4 linked regions of the Oreochromis niloticus genome follow. The protein of the gene in region 4 interacts with the protein of the main gene of each other region in a pairwise test. Links are inferred from orthologs where the notes say so. Each region holds a gene or a part of one and is shown on either strand. Other genes may lie near its edges. The genes, in order: rmdn2, mief1, hscb and agtrap.

Evidence for each region.
Region 1: the proteins of agtrap (region 4) and rmdn2 interact in binary tests that used the Homo sapiens proteins (3 or more experiments, as listed by UniProt). The two-hybrid records come from large-scale screens. The link is inferred for Oreochromis niloticus from reciprocal best matches to the Homo sapiens genes AGTRAP and RMDN2.
Region 2: the proteins of agtrap (region 4) and mief1 interact in binary tests that used the Homo sapiens proteins (3 or more experiments, as listed by UniProt). The two-hybrid records come from large-scale screens. The link is inferred for Oreochromis niloticus from reciprocal best matches to the Homo sapiens genes AGTRAP and MIEF1.
Region 3: the proteins of agtrap (region 4) and hscb interact in binary tests that used the Homo sapiens proteins (3 or more experiments, as listed by UniProt). The two-hybrid records come from large-scale screens. The link is inferred for Oreochromis niloticus from reciprocal best matches to the Homo sapiens genes AGTRAP and HSCB.

What each region holds. Positions count from the first base shown.
Region 1 is NC_031978.2:26,001,996-26,009,117, forward strand, and holds the start of rmdn2 (regulator of microtubule dynamics protein 2), read right to left. Parts: upstream 3,003-7,122; 5' UTR 2,715-3,002; intron 917-2,714; exon of another isoform or gene 779-916; intron 691-778; exon of another isoform or gene 590-690; intron 1-589.
Region 2 is NC_031969.2:10,814,774-10,822,779, forward strand, and holds the start of mief1 (mitochondrial dynamics protein MID51), read left to right. Parts: upstream 1-4,997; 5' UTR 4,998-5,119; intron 5,120-5,143; exon of another isoform or gene 5,144-5,322; intron 5,323-5,593; 5' UTR 5,594-5,907; intron 5,908-6,077; 5' UTR 6,078-6,084; coding exon 6,085-6,231; intron 6,232-6,308; coding exon 6,309-6,489; intron 6,490-6,888; coding exon 6,889-7,160; intron 7,161-7,247; coding exon 7,248-8,006. Other genes in the region: uncharacterized protein LOC100705581, read left to right, coding at 1-2,650. UniProt on the Homo sapiens protein: Mitochondrial outer membrane protein which regulates mitochondrial fission/fusion dynamics.
Region 3 is NC_031977.2:29,298,846-29,306,536, reverse strand, and holds the start of hscb (iron-sulfur cluster co-chaperone protein HscB), read right to left. Parts: upstream 3,203-7,691; 5' UTR 3,064-3,202; coding exon 2,696-3,063; intron 2,601-2,695; coding exon 2,504-2,600; intron 1-2,503. Other genes in the region: lrrc8ab (volume-regulated anion channel subunit LRRC8A), read left to right, coding at 7,199-7,691.
Region 4 is NC_031970.2:11,712,571-11,719,695, reverse strand, and holds the start of agtrap (type-1 angiotensin II receptor-associated protein), read left to right. Parts: upstream 1-4,093; 5' UTR 4,094-4,392; coding exon 4,393-4,419; intron 4,420-5,254; coding exon 5,255-5,289; intron 5,290-5,480; coding exon 5,481-5,589; intron 5,590-7,125. UniProt on the Homo sapiens protein: Appears to be a negative regulator of type-1 angiotensin II receptor-mediated signaling by regulating receptor internalization as well as mechanism of receptor desensitization such as phosphorylation.

The sequences.
Region 1 (7,122 bases), on a different chromosome or scaffold from region 4:
TGCTAACAGAGAAAAAAAAAGCCCTTTCACTCACATGTGTCCCATGACTTGCATGAATGATCAGTGTCTGAAAGGAGCATTGTCAACACTGATTTCAATATGTACTTACTTCTTGCAGAAAGATTTGCCTGCACAGGGTGTACTTAAAGTGAAGCAAGGACACAACAGCGAGAGTTTAGCCATACGGGAAACAACACTCTCCTGTTTGGATAATAGGCTAGACTTTGCTTCTTTAAGACAAATGATCATGGCATTTAAATTCACATTTCACCTCCGACCAGCTTCAGCTTTTGAATTCTTTTTGATTAACGAAACACTCGATATAAAACACATAAAACGAGACTGTGCCAGCACTGAAAATTTCTGACATTAGTCAGCAAGTGTTTACAAAGACATATGCTAGTAGTGGCTAGCCTCAGATAATTGGATCAACACATAATCTTCAAGGGAGCGTGTCAGCCAGCAGTCAAACAGCAGCTACTACAGCCTGAGCACATTGAGAAATGTAAAAGCTATCACGGTTTTCCTTAGCAGTACCCTATGAGATACCACAGCTTCACTAAGAAGCTATCAGTGTTAATTAGCTTACAATTTAATGAAGTTATGCTGCTAGTCGCCAGTTACCAAACGATGTTCCAACGTTAAAAACAGAGCAACACGCTAACGTCACACAGATACAAAAACATAAACTGATCGCTTTCAGTAACAGAGAATCATCTCGAGGTCTTACATAAACAAAATGTATGTAAAAGTAATGAAAGGTGACATTAATATACACCTTACTGTAAGGTAAGGAAGGAGGCACTTGTCGGCTTGACAGCTGTCTGGTGCGACAGCAAAAACATTCCGTGCTGGCTCAGGCGCCGAAAGGAAGAGTTCCGGTTATGTGCCCAAAAAAAGTGATTGCTGATGGTTCTGTGTACTTATGTCTAATATATTTGGTTATACTGGTAAATGGAATGCTGTCGACGGGTTTACGAATGGGTTACATATATATATATATATATATATATATATATAAAATAAAAAATAATAATAAAGAAAGCCCGTTTTGCAATGATCTTTGTCACTCTGCGCTATTCTGCCTTATCTGTGTTCTATATTATAATGTATCCAGTCCTTTTTGGCCACTTCAGATATTTAATGTATAGTTGTTAAGATATTTCTGCTGCCACAAGATTTCTCTTGAAAATCCCATTTTAAATTTCAATGAGACATTTCTTAAATTATTAATTCATTTATTTATTTATTGATCCATCCATTTTCTTAACCTCTTATTCTGAGGGGACAGAAGGCTCTCATGGCCTAGCTGTCATAGGGTGATAAGCAAGATACACCCTGCACAGGTCACTAATCCATCACAGGCCCACTAATGACATGTCTAGTAGAAAGAAAACTCCAAATTTACATTAGATCTGCTTGCCTGTCTGTATTTAAGCCATTCATAAAAACAATCCTCTCTACCCTCTACCCTCAGTGCACAGGAAACTTTATTTTGTTAGTTACTGATTTCTTTTGAGTATGTTCATTTGGGAGAAGCAAGGGTGTAGGAGCCACTGCTTCTATTTCACCAGGCAGAATATGGGTGGACTATTTCAGTTACTCCACTGATGCAGCTAAAACCCTGTTGGCTGTCAAATATGCTTATCTGTGCTACACTGTGCTTACATGCATAGAGCACACTGTGACTTTGATGGAAGAGACTTCTCAGGCTCCAGCTCAAATTTTAACAGTTCTAATACTGCTTACTGTCTAGTGTGCAAAAGCATTGATCTAGCCCTGTCTTATTTTTTATTTTTCTTCCCAAGAGACAGACTATATTGTTTTGAAGGCTCTCCAGATTTTCTAAAGGGCTTTCAAAGTTTTCACATAATGGAACACTATCAACCATGGATTGGCTGAGTACAGAACAAAAGGCAGCAAACACGTAAAGAAGAGCTTTGACATCTTTCAAGAATCCTGGAAAACTATTTCTGAAGAATAACAAATGAACAGAAAGATTGCATAACAGGCTGTGCTGACTTACATACAATTTCCCAATAAAGTATAAAGAAAATAGGGTTGACTAAAGATTTTTGCACATTGCTGTATATTCAGCTGAATATGTGCTCACATATGCCCTATGTGGCAGTACAGGCCTGCACTCTAACAGAACAAAACAAATCAAAGAACATGGCTTTTCCTATCTTCCAACTATCTCTGTGAAACATGTCCTTCATGTTGATAAAGTGAGCTTTGATATGAAATGGATAACGCACAAACAACATCCTTATATGCCATTCAGATTTTTTTTCTTCTTGTTGCACTCCAATGTTTGCACTGCAATCACCTTTTTTTAATTTTACTTGTTGCATCTGTCAATTTATTTTTCAGTTTTTAAACATTCCTTGCTTAAATTTTTTCTCAACTTGGCGTCAACATGCGAGTTAATAATCAGGCACCAAGTGATCAAGGTCCACTACAATAGCAAATGTACCAGAACTGCATTTAGAAAACACAGATAATAACTGCTTCAAAATGTTATGTTCTTTACAATTTGCATCTCAGGTCGACTGTTTCCAGTCTCATATCCATGTTTTACCGTACATATCTTTCTTCTTATGTCTCTAACGAAAGTGCAAAGCAAACTTTGTCATCTAACTAGTTTTTAAAAATCCTTTTATGTAAAACTAGTAGCAATTATTCTGAAATAATAAGCGCAAACAATGACTCACCGCTGTGTATGCTTCACTCACACAAGTGTCTCTCTGCAGTGAGCCTGAGCAGAATGTCCTCCAGGATTTAAAAAGCTGCTAAGCACATGTATTATCACTGCATAAACCTTGGACCTGCACTCTGCAATCATGGAACTGTCCTTACAGGGTCTGATTAAACAGAGAAGCACTAAAGCATTAAAAAAATGATCTTCAAGCATATCAAGCTTTATCTGATAGAGTTTCCCTAGTTATCTAGTTATCAACATATATCATGTCCAATATAAATCCCCAAAAAGGTGACTTTAAAAATGGCAAAGGCCAAAAATCATTGAGTTTTCTATTTTTTTTAATCATCCTTTTCTGTTTATTTACATTACTGTTAGATGATCTTCTTCTTCCTTCATGCTTTTTTAAATCTGCACATAAAGACAAGTTCATGATTAATGGTTTGAAAAACATTTCATTCAGGGGAGGGAAAAAAAACAACCAACAACCACAATGTCCTTGATGACCTTACGAGTGGCTGAGTTACATAAATGACTTCTTTCTAAGATGACTGTGTTTATTTGATTTGGAAGATGAACATGAGATCTCTAAATGGATGTTTCCTTTACCCTATAGAGAGGGAGGTAAGCACACTTTCTCGAAAACAGGGGTAATGAGGAGTTCCCTTGCATAATATGCCGTGGGAATCGCTACGTGCAGTTTCTTCCTTGCTCTCTGAACGCTGTATTGTTCCTTAGCCCACAGCCTGCATTCAGTTACCACAGGGAACAAAAAGCCCACCTGAAACCCAGAGGCATGGTGGTGCAAAAAGGAGAAGAAAAAAAAACAAAGCTTGGCCTGCAGCTCTGGGTTGGCCCCACAGATGAAGATATGGCGATAAGAGAGGCGCACCCAGCTATGGCCTTGCTCCCGTCGGGTCAAAGCTTGGAGATGAGCAGATATTGTCAACAATTTTGTTTTATCCACTCAGCACGCATCTGCCAAAACGTTCATATCGCACAGCCCCAGAATTGCTTTTGTGCACAGACAGAAGCCCATTACAGCTGTCAAACAATATGTGGGAGAAGAATCCTGCTGAAATAAGGCATCACTATCAGAACTGCACACACAAACCAGAGTGTGAAGCCTCATTGTTCCCTGTCGGTCTTGTAGTAGGAGTGTTCATGTGCATGACATGCCTACCTCAGTGGGAGGAAAAACTTCTGTATCAGTTGCGTGCCGTGTTAACAGATAGTTTAAAGACTCATTCAGCCATGAAGATGTGGCTACTGTTGTGTAACAGAATGCACAACATCGCGTTCGTGAGGAGCTGGGGAAGTCTAACTCATAGGTCTGCACTCGCACTACCTGATGACTATCTCAGCTGCAAGCACTCAGTGTTCTTATCCTCAGGTCTGCCAAGAGTCTCAGCTGTACTGAATTAATGTGTGCATCCCCCAAGGTTAGAAGACCAACAAAAATCAACACAAACCTATGAGAGGTCCCCTCACAGCAGTTTTTACTGAAAAATCTTCTCTGATGAGATAACTCTGTTTGCCTCTAAGTGATCTGTAGTTGCATCGCAGTTAAACTGAAATTCATCCTGCTGAGAGACAAGTCTGTAAGTCACGGTCCTGCTTGTGCGGGGGCTTATGCTACGGTGTCCGGCAGGTTAACTGGGTTAACCCAAATTAGTTTTTCAGGCTTCATCTGTGGATGAAACATACTATGACCTAATGCTTATGAATATTTTTCCAAGAAGTGATCCCAGTTTAAAAGTATTCAGTCTGCAATAGTGGCTTCCAACTGCGGCATTAATCAGCAGCATGAATAGCATTCCTGCATGTTTGCATGGCGAGCTGTCTTCCCTTTTCCCATTGCCAAATGAATCAGTGTCCGTTTCCTACATCATTTTGGCTTGAGCTGTAAAAGTATGCGCAAGTAATAACTATTTTTCTAACTGAATGCAGTCAAAGTATAGACTGTAATAGAGATTAAGTGAACATTAAGTGGCCTTGAACTTCTGTCTCCTCATCATTTTCAAATTAATCATCTCTTCTTGCATTAATTTTTTTTATGCTCTCTTTTTTTCTGTATGGCAGGTTAACCATAACCCCAGCAGTTTTATGTCGATGTGGTATGCACATTAACATAAAATCCCCAGTCTGTTTTTTTCTTTTATTGTTTGATTGGATCCCTCATAAGCTGATAAAATATGTAAAACTGCCACACAAGACATGACAAGCACAAAACCTTGTAATAAAGCAAATGTAAAAAGAAAATAAAAATGATAATAATAACAAAAAGATAGCAAAAATAAGTAACTAGAAGTAATTTTTTGTGTTAGTGATAAATGACCTGCTCTTTTTAACTAAAAGTCTTGGAGGAGATTAAAGGACTGCAGCAGTGTTTAGTCTCAAGAGTCAACAGAAACACAGTTTTAAAAATGTTAATTCATTGTATATTCAATTATCTTCAGACAAAATGAGTATTTCAGCTGTTTCCTGTTATTTTCTTCCCTAAAAATATTTCTTGGTAGAAACGTAGGTTCAACAGGAAACATCATCATCTTCCTCGTCTAATCAAAATCCTGTTCCCTTCTCTGACGGTCACTGCACCATGATGTGGCAAACAGAAATAAATACACTCTATGTTCTGAAACAAAAACGATTGTAATTACCAAACCCAAAACTGTAAACATATTCTACTGAAGCCAGAATATATTTGCATCCTCTTCCAGGTTCAGAAGTGAGATCCACCCAGGTCAAGTTTGTTAATGGTGACCCTGTTAGAGGATTAGCCTGTTAAAGCTTGAAATATGAAATAATTGCCAGAAAATTCTAGTTTTTTTGAAAATTAAAAATTTATTGAGCCATCTGACAAAATTGTTTAAATTTTTAATTTACATACATGACTTTTAATTTGTAATTTATTTGCTACATCTGGCGGCTTGTGTTTTAATTGCTTAAAATGCACTTTATTCAGCTTTTTCAGGGGGGAAAAAAATCACACTACTGATGTAGACATCTAAACAACTGAAACAAACCTGTATGTATCAAATATGACACACTAGGCGTTAAGAGGTTAGGGCACTGTCTTTACTTACCTGACTTGTCTGTGCTGTGCATGTCTTATATTAAGCGAAGTCACTTTCGATAGCACTCACCACTCCATAATGTGTCAGATTGTTGCTTAAAGACTATATAAATCATCAATATGAGACCAAAAGGTAAACGTGTTACAGTTGTTTTATTAACTACACTAATTTTCTAATTCATGTACGTTTTGCAGTGTTTCATATTGGTTATGAAGTGAATTAGCTTGCGTTGCACGGATTTCCATCCTGGCCATTTATTTGGTCCAATGGCCTCTAATCTGATTGTTTTAAAATTCAACCAACTGCAGCTTTAAGAGGGATTTTGGGGTTAACAAGTTATGAATTCTAGGAAAACCTAAGACAGGCCGATTGCATCGAGAGACCTCTCTGTGACTTTTGATTGCGTAGTTTAATGATTTCTTCCTTCCTTGTATCCTCCCCTGAAGTGACAATCAGTCATGCAATCGGACACTGAGCATTCCTCCAGAAGGAGATACACATCACTCGCAAATTTGTGGGCCAGATTTCTCTTGAGATTTTTGTCCACAACAATAAAAATGTTTATCTACTCAAAACATGGAGTACTTGGTAAGACTACATGATTGCCTAACAGCGCAGCCAAATACAACACCAGCACATAGCTGTCCTTGAACTTTGATCAAACCTCCCTGTCCTCTCCATTTACTATGTAAACACACAAGGTCATGACACTTATCTTCTGAGAGATTAATGCACTCTATCAACAACATTTCAGCTGTCAGTATTTTAAATTTATGTATAAAGGTCATCCTGTGCTGTAAAGGGGAAAAATATGATGTTAATTATTTATCTCATTGAAATTACTCTGCATGTATGTAGTAAGCTAAAATTCAGTAGTAAAATGAAAGTGAAAGTGCTTTTTTTTCTCTTTTTTATATGTAGGCAAGATGTGGCCAGAAGGTGGCGCCTAAAGAATTAGTGTTGAGATGCACCAGATGGACGAGCTGTGGATGAGGAGCACTGTCAGGACTGGATATTTGATGCAATGCAATGAGGACACATTGCTCATCCTCAGCATCCTCAGCAAGTCTTTATTTTAATAGAACAAACTAAGTTTCATCACTAGTCTGCTGACTGAGACACAACAGCCCTGTGTTGCTGAGAAGAGAATAAGTCCAAGATCAAGATAATCTGCTCTTAAACACAGCCTACAGTTGATGTCGACAGCTCCAGACACATTATCCAGTCAGCATTTGTGCATGTCAAGGTGAGTACAGTGTGAGTCATATCTAACTGGTTACATTATGTCTGCTCTGCTCAGGTAGACCAAAATAAGATAATTAGATATTATCAAGTGCAAATCAA
Region 2 (8,006 bases), on a different chromosome or scaffold from region 4:
AGGTAAAGGTTCTGTATTGAACAAAAATGGCAAAAATGAAATGGAAGCAACCATTGTGGATGGCAGTACAAAGAAGTCAGGATCTGTTGCCTGTGTGCAAAGTCTAAAGAACCCAATAAAAGCAGCCAGGTGTGTAATGGATGAAAGCTCACATGCACTGATTGTGGGAGACGGAGTTGAAGAGTTTCTTGAAGAGCTTGAGGAAAAGCAAAAGCTTGTTGGTCCTGAGTATTTCTATACTGATGTACGTCACAGAGAGTTAACTGCAAAACTCAGTAGTGGAAAAAACTCCAAAAACAATCATCCACAGACAGTTGGTGCTGTGGCCTTGGATCGCTGGAATGGATTGGCTGCTGCAACCTCTACAGGCGGGTTGGTAGGAAAGCTGAAAGGGCGAGTTGGGGACACAGCAGTAGTAGGAGCAGGTATATATGCTGATGACAAGTTAGCCATTACCTGCTCTGGAGATGGGGATGTTTTTTTGAGGAACACAGTTGCTCAGAAAATAGCAAGTCTATACCATCATAAAGCCCACAGCCTTAGGGAAGCATGCAGAGAAGTGATAGCTGAAGATCTGAAGGGGATCTGTGCTGGAATCATTGCTGTGGACGCCAAAGGTGATGCCGTCATTGAGACCAATGCTGGTGTGATCTTTGTGGCATCAATGATTTGTGGCATTTCACGAGTAGAGGTCCTCAGACCCCTGATAGATCCTCCTAATGTTATCTGGGAAACAGATGAGCTTGTTGCTTACCTGAATCCCAAACCCTGGATCCCTGGAGCAACAATTCTGACTAGAAAAACTCTTAGTGGGGCAAGCAGCATCTTCCACTTAGCTACAGCTGATTTTGTTGCTATGCTACAAGGAGCACGAGTTGTCTCAAACTTGCTATGTGAGCGACTGGGAGTGCAACGTTGTGCCTTGGTATTCAATCCAACTCCTGGTCAGCCAGCACAAATCAGACTCCTCCCTCTTCATGGCTTAGAGCCAAAATGGCAGCCCCATCTTGCTAGTGAAGAAGAGTTCCACGCTTATAATCCTGGCTATTGCACCTCAAAAAGTGGTCCACGTTGGGATGATGAAGCACTGGCTCGGGTTCAAGATAAGATTAGAAGTGCACTGCCAACACCAAATGTACCTTTTTGCTTTGATTTTTTGGGAGACCTATCCAATGACAACCTGTTCAGTCGCATTGTTCGAGGGGAGCAGCAACAGTGGAGAGTGTGGGAAGACACTGAGTATGTTGCCTTTTTGACACCTTATCCAAACAGTCCTGGTCTAACTGTTGTGGTGCCACGCAAACCTCTGTCCAGTGACATCTTCAAACTGAAGGAACCTGACTACACAGCACTGATCTTGGCCACTTACAAAGTTGCCCGACTGCTGGAAGAGGGGATGAAAGCTCCAAGTGTTGCACTGATCTTTGAGGGATTTGAGATCGACTATGCTCATGCCAAGTTGATCCCTCTGTTACCTTCACCAGATGGCACTAAACCTGCTGAGCTGCAAACAGAATGCTTCCAAAGCTACCCTGGATATGTTTCATCACTGAATGGCCCACCCGCTGACTCTGAAACCCTCAAAACCATCCACTTGAAAATTACCCAGTGCAAGCCTGCTCGTTCCTGGACAGATCCTGAGTCTCACTCCATGGCAGCCATCAAGAGCCAGTGGTATCGAAACCTTTTTAAGATCCAGAACACTCTTTTCCACAGCACAGTGGAATACTTCAACAGTTCCTGCCAGTACTCATATGCTCTGACACCTCTCACCACTGACACCATCTCCTCACCAATGGGCCTGGGTTCTGACTCAGAGCCAGTTTCTGTCAATCTGCTGGGCCAGGGTGTGTACCTTGCTGACTCAATGCAATTTGTACTGGAATACTTCCTTCGCTTCCAGGAAAACCTGCCAGGGACCTACTACATATCTCCCAGCTTCAGAGGGGAAGATCCTGATGCCACACACTTGAACCAGTTCTATCATGTGGAGTGTGAACTGCTGGGTGACATGGACAAAGCAATGTCCATAGCAGAGGGATACTTGGTTCATCTCACCAAGTCCATGTTGAAGAAACACTCAGATATAATCCTGAACACTGCTGGGACCCTTACACATGTCACAGCTCTGCTCAGTAAGCTGGAGGGAAAAACCGGACTTTCAAGAGTACCTCTAGACCAGGCCATCCCCATGATGCCCTCTGCTGACTGTTTAGAGTGGGTCCAAGATGGTCAGCCCAATTTTGGCAGAAAGTTAACACGTAAAGGAGAGCGGGTTTTAATCGAGAAATATGGTGGAGCTGTCTGGCTGACCGAGATGGACCATCTGGGAGTTCCATTCTACCAAGCATATGTGGAGGGCACTGGGCAACGCAAAGCCAAAGCTGCCGACCTTTTGCTGGGGCTGGGTGAGACTGTAGGTCTTGGTGAACGCCATTCAACTCCTGAGATGGTGCAAGAGGCTCTGAGGCATCATGGAGTGTCAGAGCAATCTTATAAATGGTACATTAACATGCGCCAAGTGAAACCACTCCTCACCAGTGGATGGGGTATGGGGACTGAGCGCTACTTGTGTTGGTTGCTCCAGCATGATGATATCAGGGATATACATATCATCCCCAGGATGAAAGGGGTTAAGTACATGCCTTGAGTATGGGTTTTCCACATTTTTCAAGCCATTGAAATTGACTTGAAAAAATGGCTACAATGCATGTGGATTTGTACCATGAAAATGTTTCAGTCAGTCCTAGATTACTAGAATTTTCCTCCTATGTCTTGGACAGAAGAAATCTCTTAGAGCCCTTAGTGCAACCTGGTCATTGATACTCTGCAAAATTTTTACAACTCCAGCAGAAGCTGTAAAAAAAATGTATTTAAATGTAGAGTGGTAAGATCACAGCATTAATGTGTGTGGAAATGCATGAACCGTTAATAGACTATGAATTATGTATACATGTTCTTGTAATGAGACTGATTCTCACTGTTGACAAAATCATTATCTACTGGGTTTAAATTGTAGTAAGTAAATACATTTTAATTGAGTGATAAATTGACCACTTTACATAAATGTTGTAAACAATTTTAAGTGTCACTTCTTTATATTTTTTCCATGATGTCATTTTTTTTGTTTGTTGTTGTTGTTGTTTCTATTGCATTACCTTTGTATGTAAATGTTTTTGCTGAGGTCAAATGGATCGTGACTCACTGATGTTTCAAGTCAATAGTATCGATATTCAAAAGAACTATTGGATCCAAAATAAATCTCAGTGACAGATTTGTATGGATTACTGATGTATCCAGTGGACCCTTTTCATAAGAGATTTACATTCTTTGTGAGACTAAGAGATATATGTTTTCTGGCCATTGGAGTTTATCAGAATCAAAATCAGAATACTTTAATAATCCCTAAGGAAATTATGTTTAAGATAATTTATTGATATATATCAAGTGTTTAAAATGATAACAGCGTCAACTGCCTCAGTGTCATTTGGCCAAGTTGGTTGGATTCACCGGTACTGCAAATAGTCTCACATTGCTGGGAGCTATTTGATTTATTGTTGATTTAATAAATGTTTGTTGATGCAACTAAAAAGATGATCACTTTGATGTTCTTATAAAGTCTTACATACACATACATATTATATTATATATATACTGTTCTCCACAATAGAGAAAAATTACAGAAAGTTCTTTCTTGATTGCATTAAAATTGAGTGTATCAGTTTTCATCTTTTAATATTAATTAAATATTTATTTATTTGTCAATTTTAATCCATCCTTCCAATGAAATGTATTAGAATTATAAGTGACACTTGGACAACAAATGATGCTACATGCATTCACAATTTTAACATGAAACAGCAACCAATCCTCCAGACACAATTCCAGAATCAGCAGTTTAGTGTGAAAGAAAGAAAACTATGAAAGAAAAAGTATATCTTCAGCTTAGATCTTTGAAAAACAGTCACAGCTGATGTTTGTCCAGGGTCTCTTTGGAGGGTCATTCCAGAGTTTTTGTGCAACAATTGCAAATGCATCGGCTCCTTTTGCAATTAGCTTTAACTGCGGGATGCATATCCACCACATTTGCAGGTGCGAGACCATTTAAGACTTGAAACACAAACAGTGCCAATTTATACTCGATTCTGTAATGTACAAAAAGCCTCCCAACATGATGTGAGCTCTCTTTTATTGTCCCAGTCAGTAATGTGACGGTAGCATTTTGGATAAGAAATGATTGAATAGCTCCAGTATACAGTGCATTACAGTACCCGTGTTTAGATACAACAGACATATATATAACCCTTTTCCAAATCAAGTTTAAGAAAAAGTGTTTTGTCTGGAGATTGCTATTACCACAGCAAATTAGTGAAAACACAAAATTGAAAAACATCAACCTTTTGAACTTCAGTTCAGATCTCAGTACTATACAGGTATCAGCCATAACTTTATTTCAATATAGATTCATAGTAACAACCAAATAAATAAATAAATAAATGTTGTGTCTTGACCTTACTCTATAAAGTAGCGGTCCCCAACCTTTTTTGCGCCACGGACCGGTTTATGCCCGACAATATTTTCATGGACCGGCCTTTAAGGTGTTGCGGATAAATACAACAAAAGAAAACTAGTACCGGTACCGAAAAAAAGAAGATTTATTCATAACACATGAAAAGACCCAGGAAAACCGAGTTAACGATAAAAACGATAACAAAATAACGCTGAAAACCGATAAAAACACTGAAAATCATACATTTCACACCTGAGCCTCAACTCTCGCGGCCCTGTACCAAACGACTCACGGACCGGTACCGGTCCGAGGCCCGGGGTTGGGGACCGCTGCTATAAAGCACCTGTTGTTGTGATTTGGTGCTATTTGAATAAAATAAAATTTAATTGAAATTAAGGCACAATTTCTTAAAAATGTAATTTGACATACAATGTCATCAATACAAAATAAAAGCGTAAAAAAAAAAAACACGAAAAACTGACCCGGATATAGTGTGTGAATAGCAGACTATTTGTTTCCGGTTTCCACTATCGACTCTGACCCCCGGTTAGAGCAGAGGTCTGCTTCCCCCAGAAGACAAACGATCTTTGGTCCTTTTTTTCCTGAAAAGTAGGTGCCTTCGATTTGTTTTGTTGTGCGTCTTTGTGTGGCTCGTTTAGCCTCGCTCGCAACGTTTCAACGACCATATTTTGTCCATAAAGCTGGCTGAAAGTAAGGTCAGCGCTTGCTTCGGCAGCTAGTTAGCGTGTTGTGCTACAAAGAGATGTGACTTTCCGTTGATCCAGCCATTTTCTAAAGACTAGTGAGCCTCGGTATGTAACACGGCAACACTTTCTTTTCGCTGATGAAACAGTCCCATAACCTGTGCTAGAAAACGGGCAGACTGCGAGCTTTTGTGTTTACTTGGTCAGGTTTACACGGAGGCTAACGTGGCAGTCTGAGCTGACACTGCAGCTGTGTTTTTTGCAGCGTGTGGCATGTTTGGTTTTACACTTTAAAGGTTGGATTTTTACACGGATGAAGCCATTTCTAACTGTCACGTCAGTCCTCTAATCATCTACCTTGTGCTCACCCTTTGCACAGGAGCAAGGGTATCCCCCTCCTCTCCATGTGTGATCCCTGATGGGCAGCTGGTCTCGCAGTGCCGTGCTGGAGCTCTACAGGGCGCTGCTCCGGGCAGGCCGACACCTTCAGTACACAGACCGGAATTACTACCGCCGCGCCGTGGCTCGCGAGTTTCGCCGCTGCCAGGCACTGACGGTCCCAGAAGATAAGGAGGAGGCCCTGAAAAGGGGCCGGTTCTTTCTCAGCAGCCGACTGGGTGGGCTTATGTAGGAGGAAGGGGATCAGGGGCCATCAGGTGGTGGTTAAAGGTTGTCCGAAGGTCCATCTTCCAGGTGGGTTTACACGTAAAACATCAGGAGTAAACAGACATTCTTTGTAATGGTTTAGTTTGTAGGTAGTGATGTAAACAAGATCACATGGTGATGAGCTATCCACTTATTTCTCGGCTCTTCCCACCCTAGGCAGCCTGACTCCACTTCTCTTTTTATTATTTTTTTCCCAGTGCCAGGATGGCGGGGGTGAACGGAGACCGAAAAGGAAAGAAGGATGATAATGGGATTGGAACAGCTATTGACTTCATGCTTTCGAATGCCAAGCTTGTGCTGGGGGTGGGAGGGGCAGCCATGCTTGGCATTGCAACACTAGCCGTCAAAAGAGTGAGTACTCTCACTGTGGGGTGGGGTGGGGTGGGGGGGAACTAACTGAATACCAATACAATGAATGTTATGTGCAGATGTATGATCGTGCCATAAGTGCTCCCACCAGCCCCACAAAGATGGAGCAAACAGGAAAGAGAAGCTGGGAGGAGCCTGCCTGGATGGGGTCATCCCCGAGGGTTTTAAACCATGACATGAAGTCCACAGTTAGCAGGTCGCTGCAGTCTCTGCCCACTTCTTCACATGCTTTTGAACCAGGTGAGGGGAAACAAATTGTCCTTTAATTTATAACTTATATATGAGGTAGACTAACGGCCAGCTCTCATCTTTTTTTATTTTATTTTTTTTCATCTGCTAACAGACAGCCTGTTTGGAGGATTCTTGCTCTTCCTTTACAGTGGGTGCTGGCTCGTTTAAGTTTAGATACCCAGCTGTTTTATACTGATCTTTAATCATAACGTTATAGAAACTGTAGAAGGCCGTGAAGTTAGTCTTTGTAGATTTAGCTCTGTCATATTCAAATATTTAGAGAACAATACTGTGAAACTCCCATCCTATTACACCCATCGCTTCCCCCTGAAACCGCAGAAGAGGAAAGCTCACAAAATCCTGCTGCACTTATTAAAACAGTTCATCTCTAACTTATTTTCTCCCCAGACTGTCTGCGAAGGGCTGTGGGTCGAGCTGCTGTGGGGAAGAGCGGTGCCACTCGGTCAGATATGATGCGGGCCCGGATGCGTCTGTCTTTGCAAGAACACCTGTGGGAATTCTACCAAAATAATGTCAACATCCCTGCTGAGGAGCAGGCCATGGCCAGGAGGGCAGCGCTAGACATCTGTGCTGAGCTCAGAGTGTTTCTTCATGCCAAACTGCCTGACATGCCGCTCAGAGAGATGTACCTCAGTGGCAGTCTGTACGATGACCTTCAGGTAAGAGCACTTATTATGGGGGATTATTTTTTTCATAATGACACATTCATTTAATTGGAAACCATTCTCCCCTGTTCTGCCTCCAAGGTTGTAACAGCCGACCACGCCCAGCTCATGGTGCCTCTTGTCTTGGAGAAGAATCTGTGGTCGTCCATCCCCGGAGAGGACACGATCATGAATGTCCCAGGTTTCTGGCTTGTCCGTAGGGAGAATTTGGAATATTTCCCTCGGAGTAGCAGCTATTGGGACCGATGCATGGTCGGAGGTTATCTCTCCCCGAAATCAGTGCTTGAGGTCTTTGAGAAGCTTGTTGCAGGTTCTATTAACTGGCCAGCTATAGGGAGTGTCCTCGACTACATCATCCGTCCCGTGGTTCCCGCCGAAACGCTGACTCTGGAGGTACAGTACGAGACGGACAGGAAGCTGTATGTGGACTTCTTGCCTTTGCTCGTGATGGAGGATGGAACCTCACTGATTGCCAAACCGCACCGGTTTGCTGCAGAGCGCCACGAAAACCTGTGGCGACAGAGCTTCCGCGTGGCCGAGACGGCCCGGCTCAGGGCGCTAGATCAGGAGGATGGCGGCTGCCGATGCACCTGCCTCAAAGTGGCGAAGGCTGTGTGCAAGCTCAACCCTGCCCTTCACAGGCTCAACTCCAGCCAGCTCACTAATACCATCCTGTTGCTCAGCGAAAAAGAAGGTGACTGGACCCAGGAAGCGCTGGCCGACCGCTTCCTTCAGCTGCTACGAGCGCTAGTGGGGCACTTGGAGGCTGGGAAGCTGCCGTGTGCCCTTAGCCCTAAAGTGAACTTGTTTTGTGAGCTGACTGATCAAGAAGTGGATGAG
Region 3 (7,691 bases), on a different chromosome or scaffold from region 4:
TTTGTAGCTGGGGGAAAAAACCAAACCAAACAAAAATACTGCAGTGCTACTGTACACCACCGCAGTGGATTTTAGATTAAACAATCAGAGGCACAAAATAAAATTGGAAAACTGATGATATAACTTTAAATATGAGAATTATTTTTAATACGTGGACAAAAATTCTCTTCTGATGACTGCCTGAAGTCCAAAAAACATGGACATCACCAAATGCTGTTTCTCCCATTGAGACCCTCTGCTAGTCTTAACTACTCACTTCCTGCTTGTTTGTACGTCTCTCCCTTCCATTTTATCTTCATTTAATGAAAAGCATGCTCTTCTATGTTGAGATCAGGTGACTCACTTGGCCATTGAAGAATCTCCCATTCTTTTGCCTTGAGAAGTTCTTGGGTTGCATTTGCACTATGTTTATCTGTTATCTGTTAGATGCTTGATCAGTAAACACTTGTGGGGCATATTATGTTCCTTCCAGTAACACTGCGTCTACCATGTTTGGCAGATGACGAGCCATTTCTCTTCCTATTATGACTTCCTTGTTCTTGAGTGTAACCAGTGTTTTGCATCTTGTTGTAAACCCATTCATGAGGGCATCTCTTGATTGTAGACTTTGACAATGATATTGCTAGATATAACAAAAGCGGTTTTCTTACCAAGTAAAGAGATCTACCATCTACTATAGTTGCCTTCCATGGTCCATCAAGGCTTTTGGTGTTGTTCAGCTGGCCAGTGCTTTTCTAATTTTTCATTTTCTTTTTTGAGTATTATGGTGACCCTATTTACTTGCAGCAATCTGACATCATATTAAGAACTCCAGTGAAAATCTACTAGATATTAGTTCAAAACTTTGAATGAATGTCAGATATTATATCTACTTAAAGTTTCATAAAATACACAAGGAATCAACCTCACCCTCACCATGACTGTGATTGTCAATCAACTGTCCAATTACTTATGAGCATCTGAAAATGCCAAAGCAGGTAATGCAATACTTTGTATTAAACCCATTGAATCAAAGTTGAAAGTTGAAAGGTGTCATTTTAACAGTTTTAAACATCTAAAATCTACCTTGGTGGTGCACAGAGGCCAAATTAAAAAGACTGACATTGACTGAATACCGATGGAACTTCCTTAGTGTAATTAGAGTTTATATGGTAAATGTATAGCGCTTTACTAGTCCCTAAGGACCCCAAGGCACTTTACACATCCAGTCATCCACCCATTCACACACTGGTGATGGCAAGCTACATCGTAGCCACAGCCACCCTGGGGCGCACTGACAGAGGCAAGGCTGCCGGACACTGGCGCCACCGGGCCCTCTGACCACCACCAGTAGGCAACGGGTGAAGTGTCTTGCCCAAAGACACAACGACCGAGACTGTCCAAGCCGGGGGTCGAACCGGCAACCTTCTGATTACAAGGCGAACTCCCAACTCTTGAGCCACGATCGCCCCATATAATGGGTCAATATACACAAACACAATCAGGACTGTTTTCACAATTAAATAATTGTTTCAGTGATCTTATTAAGCCAAACCGTCCAAATTTATTTGACTAATTAAGAAAATACTCAGCATATAAAACATCTTAATAGTCACAAGATCTTACCCCCTTTTTTCACTTTATTATTTTCAGGGGAACAATCTCAGCTACTTACTTTTCCTAATCTATCCAAATAAACTCCTAAGTCACAATTTAGCAGCTTGTGATCAAACCTTTTATCCTGGTGGGAGTTAGAAAGTGTCCATGCATAAGGCAAGATGAGTAATTGAATGAAAACTTCTAAACCAAAGTTAACTTTTGCTTTCTTAACCTGTATAAATATTTAATATATTTAATATACCTCTGTTTTTATTATTTTAGATTTTGCAGTTATAATGTAAAATGTTTTGGAAAGCAGGTCCTAGTAGGCACTTTTACATTTCACAGCAGGAAAGGCACAAGTGTAATTATCAACATAAATAACATAAACTCATGTTGGCTTACTGGAGTTGCCTCCTGGTTTTCATAGCTGAAATAAGCAGCCATGAATCTCTTCACATACACTGATGCAATTCAACATGTAAAGCTGTTTATATTACTAGACTGTCCATTTATACACTACCCCCCCCCGGCCCCCTTTTTATACCCCTTTTGTATTTTTCCCTGAGAAGCAAATGCTTGTTCATCTACACTGCTATTTAGTTTCAATTCCTTAAACTTGCTTCCTATGCCTTGAGCTTGCTTGGTAGCTTAACACAAACCAAGTTCCCTAACCAGGCCCTACATTTGTCAGTGTCTTTTAACAAGCCCATCTTTCTTACTTTGCCCAGAGTTACTCCCATGGCCAAGTCACAATGAATTATCATGACAAAACAAAAATGCACACACAAGTGGACAAATGGGGACAAGGGGTCAGACCCAATTTCCTGTGTCACAGGGCAACTAATAGAAAGGAAAGTGTTCTCTGACTCATAGACCATCTCACTCAGCAGATCTCTATTCCCCTTACATTCCCCCTCCCTACCATAGATTTCTGGCTGAAGTTGTCTGGATGAAGAGACCGCTGGAGCTGCAAGTATGTTTTCTGCAGCTTTTGTGTGTCCAGTGTGAATGTGTAGTCACTGAAAAAGGTAACACATGATAAAATGAATAGACTGGATTCATTTGGAAAGCTTTTTAAGATGGTGACATATGTTAAGGTAAACAAGAAACTCACCAATCCATGATCTTGAAGTAGGATGTCCCTTCTACAGGGGGCTGCACTGCTTTGCATGACACGCAGAAAAATGCAGGTCTTTTGTCAAGAAGATGCTTACAGTTCCAGCAGTTCAATTTAATTTGACTTGTGCAGCAATTCCTGGGTGAAGCGGATTGATTAGTGAAGTAAAACAGCTCTCTCTCCTTTCTGAGTGCTCTGAAGTTCATGTTGCTGTGCCATGTGCCCCTCCTGTGGAGGCTGGTAGACATACTGTAAGCTGTACATGTAACAGCTTTAGAAACAAGCAATCGGTTGGTGGTTAGCCAGCTTGGGTGCAGTACAGCCCGGGATGAGCCAACAATCCTCAAAGAGTTGACAGACAACATTTCTGGAATTAAAATGCACTACTCGCTGTCGTGCACTCAATAAATACACAAAATGTTCACTGTCAAAACACATCTCTTTCCGGAAAAACAAACGAAGAAGAGCGTTCTTCTTCTACGTTTTGTAACACTGTCACACTGCCGCCGCTCGGTGGGTTTCGAGTTCTTGATGGAAAACCAACAGCTAGCTGGCAACAGCAAACGCAATTTGTGAGGAACTATTGATAAAGTAGCCTTAGTTTTGGACGCAGCACACCAATTGAAGTAAGCTGAACACCTCACAAAATGTTCAGTGTTTGTTAGTAGTGTACTAGTGTCGTTTTAGGTGCGGCTTTTGCCGAGGATGTAACGATAACAAGAACCCCTGGTCTGCATGTAGCTAGCTTAGCTCACTAGCTGAACAGTATAGCTTAGTTTGCGAACATGTCTTAACAACAAAAAGCCTTTATTCGTGGTCGGTACTGACAAATAAGCTGGTTGTTGTCAGATTCCAGTTCACGGCCTTAAAAACAGCGTTTCATGTTATTTAAGGGCACATGTGAAGAAAAAAAGCACCCGGGTTTAACTTTATGTTGAGTAGCTTGCTCAGCTAGCTGGATGACAAAGGCATCCCATGTTATGGTTGAGCGGTGACAAAAACAAATTCAAACTAGCTTATTTTTATTATTATTTTAAATAATCACCCATTTAAGAAGCATCAGCTTAAAACATCACTTAATGCACGCTTGCGTAACTTTAATTGCCTTTTTCAGAAAGTCTAGAAAACTGCATTTTCATACCAATTGGGTTGTTTTGTTTTTTTCTTTCAGATTCAACTGCATTCTGACAAAAGAGGCAATGCTTCATGAAGAGTTCTGGATACTCAGTGAGTGGCTAGTCCGCCAAGGACATCATCAGGCACTGGAGCACAGATAACACCTCCAAACTTGTGAGTATTTTATTGACTAAGAGTACTTGTTGCTGCTTCATCGTCCAAGAGTACTTGTTGCTGCTTCATCGTCCATCCATACAGGCGGTCGCAATACAACAGCTGCTAGCTGTGTGAAGAAAAAAAATTCTCTGAACACTGGCCAGTGTAAATATGCTTATTTGGCCAAGAATCAGACTAGGCGTCTCGACTATTTGTCATTACAGTTTCCTACCAAAGTACAAGCTCTGTGATGAATGCCAGGTCTTCATTCTTGGTGTGTGTGTGTGTGTGTGTGTGTGTGTGTGTGTGTGTGTGTGTGTTTTTGGGAGGGTGCAAAAGCTGACTGTAGAGTATTCCAGAGAGACACTTGTTGGAGACAGCAGCTTCTATAAGGTAAACAGGATCTCTTCCTGAAGGTCGAGGGAGGTACTTCTCAAGGCCCCCACAGACAATACTCTGGGTATTATTAACGGAAACCGCTAAGAATAGAGAGCAGGGGAGCAAGGTGGCTCCTCTGGCGGTCACGTTGTTTGGGTTAAACAAGCCAAAACGGAACATCTTCTTAAGAAGAGTGACTTCTCGAGCTTTCATGCTGGGTGTGGCAATTTAGAGGGCTTTATCTGGCTCTGATGTACAGCAGAGGTAAGGGAGATTAGTTGTGGATTGCTCTTGGCTGTTTATGTATGGAGGACTTGTGCTTTACAATTGGAATTTGTAAGTAAAACAAATTTTCATACCTAATAGGACATTGTTAACCTATCATTTTACATAAGCTATGTATTATGTGACTTTTTTTTCAATTTAAAAATAATAGTTTTGGCTTGTCCAGCAATATCCCCCAGACAATGCATTACCTACCTACTAAAGGAAAGAGTCTCTGTATGTTTTTGTGTCTGTTTACTCAAACATTCATCATAAGGAAGGTGATATATCCTAGTATTGGGACAAAATTTTCCTGCAATGCATTTTTGTACAAATTGCAAATGAATAAATAAATGAATACATACATGTATGTATTTACTCAGACATACATGTTTGAGTAATCATGTCTGGTATGTCATTACTTGTGTTTCATAAGTTTGTCAGTTATATTTGGATGATGAATTGATTTTGTGTTAATCAGCTGACTTCACTTTGTGTGATCTAAAATTTTTGAGGAGATATTACTTTTTATTGGAGTTTGACTAATCTATTCATGTTTCTTCTTTCTGAAGGAAAAATTATATCAGACAGTATATTGGAATTGGATCGGATTTTTTTGAATCACCAAATATTGGTATTAGTATTAGTACAACCAATACAAAGCTAATAGCAAAGAAATCAGAACGATGTTAAATGATAATTCAAAGGATTTAATAAAAAGTGTTGGATTACCTGTTTTGGCATTTTCAGATGCTCGCAAGTTACTCCTTTAACGATGTTAAAGGAGTAATTAGCAGTCGGGCTTATAACGCTATAGCCTCCAAAGTAGCATTGCTTTGGCTACAGCATTTTTCTCTTTGGATCCTATTTGGGCTGGCTTAATTATCTTTACTGTCACCTTTGTGTTAATACCTACATACTAAAAGAAACATCTTGAGTGTGCCCTTGTTAGAGTATGGGTTTGTGGCATTTTGTGGGACTGTAGCATAAGGTTTATGTTGTTAACTCATGGTAATGTGACAGTGTACATTATGTCATACCACCTTGTTAATAATGCAAAAGTTATATAATGAGCAGTGTAAGGAATTCCTTTCTTCAGCGAGTAAATATGTAACAAAGTGAATTCATTTTTAATTTTGGTGACTGTATCCACAGCAGCTTAGTAAGGCTGTCTGCGTGTATCTTCCATCCAATTTGAAATTGTCTCACATGCTGGATTATGAGCAACTCCACTATCTGTTATATCACCACAGTTGTGATGTAAAAACGAATGAGTAATGAAAGTCGAGTTTCTGTTTAATTATTTAGCAATGGTTATTACATTAACATGTGTATGTGCTTTGTTCAGTGAACGTATTCATGGCCACCCCACCATAAGAACAATTTAAATCTGTGGGTAACTGTTCAAAATTCACATTTTGAGGTTGGTTACACACTTAAATGATAAATGAACTGGAACTTATATGGTGCTTTTCTACTCAATTTGAACACTCAGAATGCTTTCTTTCAACAAGTCTCATTCACTCAAGCACATGCACATCCATACAGCACTTTTTATCTAATGTAAAAAGCATGAGTGAGTGGGCAACTTGTATTCAGTGTGTTTTCCTTTAGCAATACTGTTTTCCCCTAAAATAAGTCATTTTGTGACTTACTCATGCTTCGTAAATTACATTCCACATACAATTAAATTAAAATGTTTCTGAACTTGAGTGCCAAAATCTTTTAATATGCATTGAAAACCCTGCTTCATTAATTGGCTACATTACTTGTAGAGGCCGAAAACCCCATGTTAAACAGATGGATGAATCTCATGTTGTCTGATCACTGTATTATTGTAGGGTCTTTATCTTACAATGTAAATTGCCTTGAGGTGGCTGCTGTTGTGCCTGTTTTAGTTTTGGTACTCAGATTTTGTGTTATAATTGGCATCAGAATAGAGAAGTGGAATTTATGTATTATTACTGCTGACGAACAGTAATAATACAACCTCTCACGATTAACAAGTGTGAAATTACTGCCTGCCTAACTTAGTCATTTATCACGTTTACACCTTGCATACATATTGAAGGCAGCTGTTTCTTTGCCTGTATTTTTTTTTCTTAACATAGGCAGCCCATTAATACTTCACCTTAATCTTGTAGGAGTAACTTAAGATGCAGATAAATTTAATTTATATTTTATTGATTGCCATTTGGCCCTAACATTTGAAATGACTTGTCTGGTATGACAGTCCTTTGAAAGCAAGATTAATTGAGCCTGCTTAACAATAGGTAAATCAATAACATGGTAGTCCACCAAGTAAAGTTAAACACCAAAGTCTTTGTCACAATCGCTATTCATTACTCCTGACAGCCTTCAAATTAACCATGGTCAGCGTTCTGATGTGTGCCCTTGTTAGTTAGAATTATAGTATTGATTTTTCTGCTAGGTTTTTTGTCGTCGTTTAGGCAAAGGTTGCTTAAGCACTACAGGGAAGGAGTGTTTAATTTGTAAACAGACATTTCTGTATTGTTCTGATGTTTGACAGGGGTCTTTAATTCAATACATCACTGTCTACATTCTCTACGTTCCCACAGATAAACCATGATCCCCATCACCGAGCTGCGGTACTTTGTGGACACACAGCCAGCATACCGCATCCTGAAACCTTGGTGGGATGTCTTCACCGACTATATCTCTATTGTCATGCTCATGATTTCTGTTTTTGGGGGAACACTGCAGGTCACCCAGGACAAGATGATCTGCTTGCCCTGCAAATGGGTGGTCAATGAAACCTGCAAGAAGAACTTCAATTCAAGCATCACATCATCAGTGCCCAAAGGGATCCAGTATGATTTGGACCGCCACCAGTACAATTATGTTGATGCTGTCTGCTATGAAAATACATTGCACTGGTTTGCCAAGTATTTCCCCTACCTAGTATTACTCCACACCCTTATTTTTCTAGCTTGCAGCAACTTTTGGTTTAAGTTTCCACGGACTAGCTCCAAACTAGAACACTTTGTATCTATCTTGCTAAAATGCTTCGATTCTCCGTGGACAACAAGGGCACTATCAGAGACAGTGGTTGAGGAAA
Region 4 (7,125 bases):
AGTGCTCAGTATCATTAAATTGGGATAAATCTTTGTATGCAAGGGACAAGGCTGAAAACCAACGGCTGTGATGTTGAGTTTTGCCCTCAAGCAGCTGAAGTCCAGTATCCAGAAAGCTTTAGAAACCACAGCAAGTAATGCCCTCGGTTCTGAAACACTTAGAGCGTGTTGTTAAATGGAGAGGTGATGCAACGCGCAGTGGGAATCATGCTTAAGTGTTTCTGGCATCAAAGTCAAATTAAGCATATGTTTGGCTTCGTTTTTGTTTGTTTTTTGTTTTTTTTAAATCCCCCTTCTCCTATTTATATTTTAAACTTTCTTGGAAACAGGGTTGCTCAGAATATGTAATTAATCCCCTTCCACCACTGGGCCAGAAGTTAGTTAACTAGTCCCTTTCTTTCATTATCTTATATCAGAGTTTTAAGGAAAAAAGATAAAATCTTTATGAAGATGAAGACTAAATGGCTCTCTTTGATCGATACACTTTGTAATGTAAGCCTGTTTCAAAGAGAGCATTTTCCTTAATATGGAGATTTTTGAGGGACGAAAGAAGCACCATCTATCTTCATGTAATAAGATAATCTGCCAGCTACACTTAAGTCTCAGAATGCTTTAACACAAAGCTTACGACACATTAGAGCAAGTGCAAGAAATTACATTCAGTTCAAATTACACAAAGCCTCTGCAAATCTATCCATATCAATATTTCATTAGATGAAGAAAGTAACACAGATTTTTCTTTCCTAAGCACCATCTCAGTTGAACTACGATCGTGCTATCCTGATTTACAGGCACAAAATAAAAGCAACAGTCATGTATTTTTTATATTTACCTATGTCAGAGTGCTCTGGTAGAGTGCCCTGTTGAAACCTCGCCAACAGCCAGAGAAAAGATAGATTACACACAGCCACATCCCAGTAGGGCTGCAGCTACAACAAATGCATGTTTACCTTTCTTGAATTAATTAACCCCCACAGTGTCTATTTTAAGGGAACTTTTCCAAATCAGGTTACTTCTTAGAGCACATAGATGAGCAAGAAATGAAAAGAAGTCACATGGGGCTAGTCCGAAATCTGCCTCCACTTGTCAAAACATCAAAGAAATTATTTGTGCTCAGTTCAAATATTAGTTTTTTTGTGAGTGCTGAATCTGTCTGGACAAAGTTGTGATGTTAAACTACAAAGTGTAACATTTGTGTGTTTATCCCACTGCAGTCTCATTTTCACACACATGTATACACGAGCACATTCAGGACAGCACGTTAAGGCTGCTACATTTAATTATGGAGGCTTTTAAAGAATTAATCTTTCAGTCAAAGAGAAAAATTCATTTGTGTGTTGCCACAGGGGTCAGAGGTCACATGTGGGGTCAGAGGTCACATGTGGGGTCAGGGTTAATGCTGGATAGTGCAGAGACCATATGCCAACACTGGGCCATGAATCTCGCTTCAGTGAAAAGGGCACAGAAGTGCCAAAGACTGAGTCAGACTGCAGAACAGAAATCACAGAGAGTGAATCTCATATTAACATTTTAAAAGTTCGGCAGCTGCTCTCATCCACAGTGACTTACAGCGAGCTCAAAGGTTAAATGTGCTAAAGTCCAGGGACATAATGTCACACAGGCATCGGTGAGGAAGGCAAATGGCAGTCACGTAAGGAACGAGTGATACATACTTCATGATTCTGGTCATTTAGAATAGTAAGACCCATAGGGCAAGGAGCTCTCACCCTTTGAAATAATATAATAATCAGACAAGCACAGTTTTGAATGATTTCTACAGCTTTCAGCAGCACCTCCATCCACTGATTCTCTTCCGTCATGGCGGGTGGAGCCTATCACAGCTGGCAGAGGGCAAGAGGCAGGGTAAACCCTTGACAGGTTGCCAGCCTGTCACAGCATCTGCACCTCCTGGCTTTCATCCACTGGAGCTGTACGTTTGGCAGTGTGATGACAGACGAGACTGCTTATACATATTTTATATGCTGTAAGTGTTTCTGTGGTGATATATGATTATGGCTATTACATATGTTTTTGTTAAAAACTATACTTATGGACTGAAAGACAAGAAAAACGTTTTCCACACCAGCTGTGTAAGGTAATATAGGAATGCACCTGCAAGATCTTTTGACCGGACTGTGATTTAATTGGACTTCACCAAACGTCTTCAGGAATCTGGGATCCATAAATCCATACCAAATTTCCATGTGTTCTCCCTCCAGTTGTTGAACTAAATAAAGTTTTAGCCTACTTTGAAATCTGATTTAGCAATAAGAAAATCCTTGTGAATTGAGTCCACATGTTGTATTCATTAAGACTCAATTATCATCAGAAAAGTGTTTACTAAGAACTCAGTGACGTAGCTATAGGTTGTTTTTTTTGGGGGGGGGGATATATTGTACCAGTATCTATTTAAACAACAGGCATCACCATCTGCTGCAAGTAGCAACTAATGCTCAAAGTACTCCTTCAGTCACAACTTCCTTTAAAAGTCATTTTCACACTACTGTCTGTTAGTGCTCCTTTGATGTTATCAAACACAAAAGTTTTATGACAGTCTAATGGTCTTGTGGATACTGGATGATTTAATAATGCATGAAAACGTCTGCAAGAGTGTATGCTGATATGTTGATGTGCTGCCTGACAGTGTTTCATTAGAAGTAGCAAACAATAATAAACACATCTATCAGCATATACGTGACTACCAAACTCCTTTTTTTAATAAGCAGTGTCATTGTGGTATTCTGTTTCATGAGCTGTAAACACACAGGCTTCCTCAAAATGTGCATCGATTACGTCACAGCTGGTCCAACCTACAATAAAGCTTAATGCTGCTTGACATTAGCGTTGTTGATGTTCTGTTGAAACTGCTTTGAATACAAGTGACTGAAATAAACTTATTGAGTTCCTCTTTGGAGAGGCTGCTGGTTCACTCTCTCTGGCTGTTTCTGATATTAAGGCCCATCCATTTCATGCTGTTTAGTCGTGCTGAGTAAACTTAATAGTGTGTCACATCTGACAATGGCTCTCTGTCTTTAGCAACCGCTGATAGCTAAACCATTTTTAACTTGTTAGCTGTCCTCCATTGACCTTTGTTCTCCAAGCATTTCTTTTATATTTTTCCTTTTTCTATCCTTACCTGGGTAAAGACATGATTCGGGATGTGGATTAGCAGTTACTAAAATACAATAAATTAGCTGTGCTGTGAATGCATCTGCAAGAGTGGGTGGACTAAGCCACTTTGCCTCATTTGTAAGGGATGAAAGAGGCATCAGAGAGCTTCACTATTTGGAGCCCAGGGTGCTTGGGTAGTCAACCTCTATCACCACACTTTATATTTAGTTGACAGAATAATAATAACTCTTAAATAAAATTTTACTCGTTTAATTTTTTTAATATTAATCTTGTATTTTTTTCTGTCAGCAGTGAAAACTTCACAGATTTTTTTTAAATATTAATATACTTTTAGATAGGCCACTTAGGAAAACTGAACAGGGGTGTGATGCGAATCTGAGTACAGTTATATCCTCCCGAGAATGTGTAATAGAATAGTTTTTGGTCCATATCTTTTGACTTATTTGAGCTACTCTACTAAGATGTAATAAAGAAAATTCTGGACTTTCAATTGAAATCTCGTGTGTTTGGGTGGCCTCTTTTTACGGAGCCCCGCAGGGGACATGGGAGAAAAAGAAATTACGATGAACTTTTGCGAGATCTCCCGAGTTTGTTTTGCGAGATCTCGCAAAAGTCCGTCTTAATTTTTTTTTCTCCCATGTCCCCTGCGGGGCTCCGTACTCTTTTAGCCCCAAAGAGGCAGGAACTCACAAAGAAAAGTTCTTTTTTCAAGGTTCTCTGGAATATGTGGAAGTCTGCTGTATTGAAACTACAAAGTCCAGAAAACGGACTACAGAATGCCCATCTTACCTCACCCTAATAGGTTTTACCATGCTGTTTACCATGCGGGGAATATAAACTAAAAACACGAGTGAAATGTCATTTCAATATATAGAGAGAATATATACAGTTATTATTAAATTATTAAATTCAAGTTCTGCTTAAGGAAGTGATCCAAGAAGCACGGAAGCGGCTGACTGCCGCACACATATTTCCGGGTCTCTTCAGTTAGTTAGTAACCTTCCTAAGCAAATTTGCCAATTGGACCGCACCCCAGGGGCTGGGGGAAGGGGTGAGAGGGTGAGAGGGGCAGGAGTCACATGGGAACGAGTCAGGTTGCTGTCACATGGCTTGTGTTTGCAAGGCTGAGCCGACGGGAGGAGGGGTTTGGACAGAAGTTTGTGTAAGAAGAGAAACTGCGGTACTTTTTCATGTAGCTCTTTAACAAGTTGAAACGCCGAATCGGATCAAGGAGGAGCTGCTTTGTCCAAACAGACAATTATGGAAATCCCTGCCATAAATCTAAAGGTGAGGTTTACTTGCTGCGTTTCTGATTGCCTCGGCTTGTACGCTCAAACAAACGCTGGTTTTCAATGAAATGTCAGCTCTGTTCCTCAGTGGTAATTCCTCTGTGTGGCAACTACCTTCCTCTGCTTGTGACTCAGATCACAGTAAACTGCTGCTCTACTTTTTGCTATTAAGTAAGAAGTGTTTAAGGTAATGTTCAGGGGATAAGGTCCCTGAAGGACATTTTTGAGTGAGTGGCAGCAGGCCTTTTGACAGAGGTCAATATTTAAACATATAAACATTTATTTTCACTAACGCTGTATTTTGGCAAACACTTTAAAAACTCATATGCAGTGAATTTGGAGGGAATATTAAATTATAAACTGATGCCTTTGATTAACTGTGAAACTGAACAGGGACAAAAGTGTCATTGTGCTCTGTCCACAGAATAAAATGGTTCAAATGTAATTTTGGACAGCTCTTTCAAGGATTATAAAACCTGTGATGTCAAAAGTAGGCTTGAAGGACACTAACACTAACTAATATCCTGTTTTGTGTAATATCGTGTATTTTTTTATATTCGTGCAGTGTATTCAAAACGGCAGAAAAGATTCAGTCATTCATTCATTTTTTCCAAATCAATTAATTTTACTTTGTTTCACAGAATTGAAGAAAATCATATGTATAAAAAAAATGCAGTTTGGCAGGGCTGAAAACAATGACTTCAGTCTTCTTAGAGGGCTAAATAAAAAGAAGAAATCATTGCTATAGATTAGCTGATGATCTGAAGCTTTTAACTGGTGTGTGAGTGATAGATAGTTCAGTGTAAACACATTTTTGTCCTTCTCTATTCCAGGCCATCGTACTGGTGCACTGGCTTCTTACAGTCTGGTGAGTATGAGCACAGGCTTTTTTTCCACAAACCTGAGGAATTTCTCTCCTCTTTTGGCACACAGACACATGCTTATACTCCTGATTCAGGTCAACTCTTTCACCTACATGTCTCGTCCTCTGTGAAACTGCACGTAACTCTCCTGGAGTGTGTAAGAATCTGTCTCGTATGAATTGTGTGTTTCCTTCAGGGGGAGTATGGTGTGGCCGCCAGTGGCCTTCACATTGGCGAACCTTAGTGTTTTAGCAGTTGGAGTGTGGGCGATTGCACAGAGGGACTCAGTAGATGCAGTGATCATGGTGAGTCTGCCTTCACTTTTTCATGCGATCTTATGGCATCATGTGACACATAAAGTAGTCCAACTTTAGGCGCAGTGCTGCATATCTGTGCTAACCTATTTGTCTGTGGAATCTAGGGCATTCTGTGAGCATCCCTTTAAAAAATAGCCTTCCCTTAATTCAGCACACAGTACAGTAGCTGAGGACCTCAGACGGTTTACATTTGCTTAAGGAGCCATTTTATTTTAAATGTTTGACCCAAGTTTCAGAATTGCTTATACACTAACCAGTTTTATGTTAACCCTCATCATACCGTAACTCTGAACCCGTGACTGATGTTTCCATTGTACATTAGTGACATCAGCTGACTAAGGGGGAAAAAAACAAAAAAAAACGTGTGACTTGAGAATTGTTTTTTGATTGTGTTCTGAAGCAAGAACAGCTTTTATCAGATAGGAAAAGATGGGTGCAGTTGGCTGTTCTCGACTGTTAGAGAAAACTATTTAGTACCTCATCCTGACTGTGGGTCAGCAAAAGAACTGAGCCCTTCTCATAGACTGTAGAAAACGGCCACAATGGGTTGTGGTTTTTAAAGGCTTTAGTTTTGGATTGAGTTTCACTTTCTGGCCTTGGCTGTGTTCATTTTTTTTTTCTATCTTAAGTCAGATCTGACCAAATTAACATGAGCAGGCAGTGAGGAGGCGTTGCCAGCTATTGCTAGCTAGTTTGGTTAGCAAGGTGCATCCATAAAGCGTAATATTAAATGGGATGCTTATTCTGACTTGCAACAAAACAGGCTTAAAATTAACATTTTCTTAACGGAGATAGTCGATAGCATATTGCTCAAGTGTGTTTTTGTATGACTGAACACTAAGCAACACCAGATGTCAGAAAGTTTCCAGCTGCCAGCTTATGCATTTCTGCTGTAACGTTGGACATTTTAGCATGGGAACTGAGTGGCCTGTGAAGCCAACCTCAGGGGCTGCAGCTTTTGGTGCTTCAGCTTCAGCTCTGATTTCATTTTTCAGCCCCAGAACATTTTAGTTGTGTGTTCACTGCATAAATACATTTATGCTGATGCATAATATTTAACTTAAAGTCCACCTTTGAAGGCTTCAGGCTTTGGGTGTTTACAATGAAGGGATGAATCTTGAGCAAAAACTAGCTTTTCAGTTTGTTATTCTTTGACAATTTTGACAGTAATGGTTTTGGTTTGACAGTTTGACAGTACTGGACTCTGTCACTGTACTGAACCTGTGGGAATTATAGACCCTGGGATGTAACCACAGGGGAGCCTTTTACCTTGTGTACATTAAAGTCCAATGTCATATTCACTCATGTCCAAGACCTATCAAGAAGACTGGTGCACAAGTAATTGATAAGGAGGATTCCTTAGCACTGAGTGGTATTTTAACTTAGATCAAACACTCAGCCAATCAACTGCAGGTAATATAGTCCATTGTATAGCTTTTCCAGTATGGTGAAGTCCTGGCAGCATTTTTCTCAGGTGCCTTAAGTAAATTCACTTGTATTAGTTTAAAAACTTTAAAATATGTT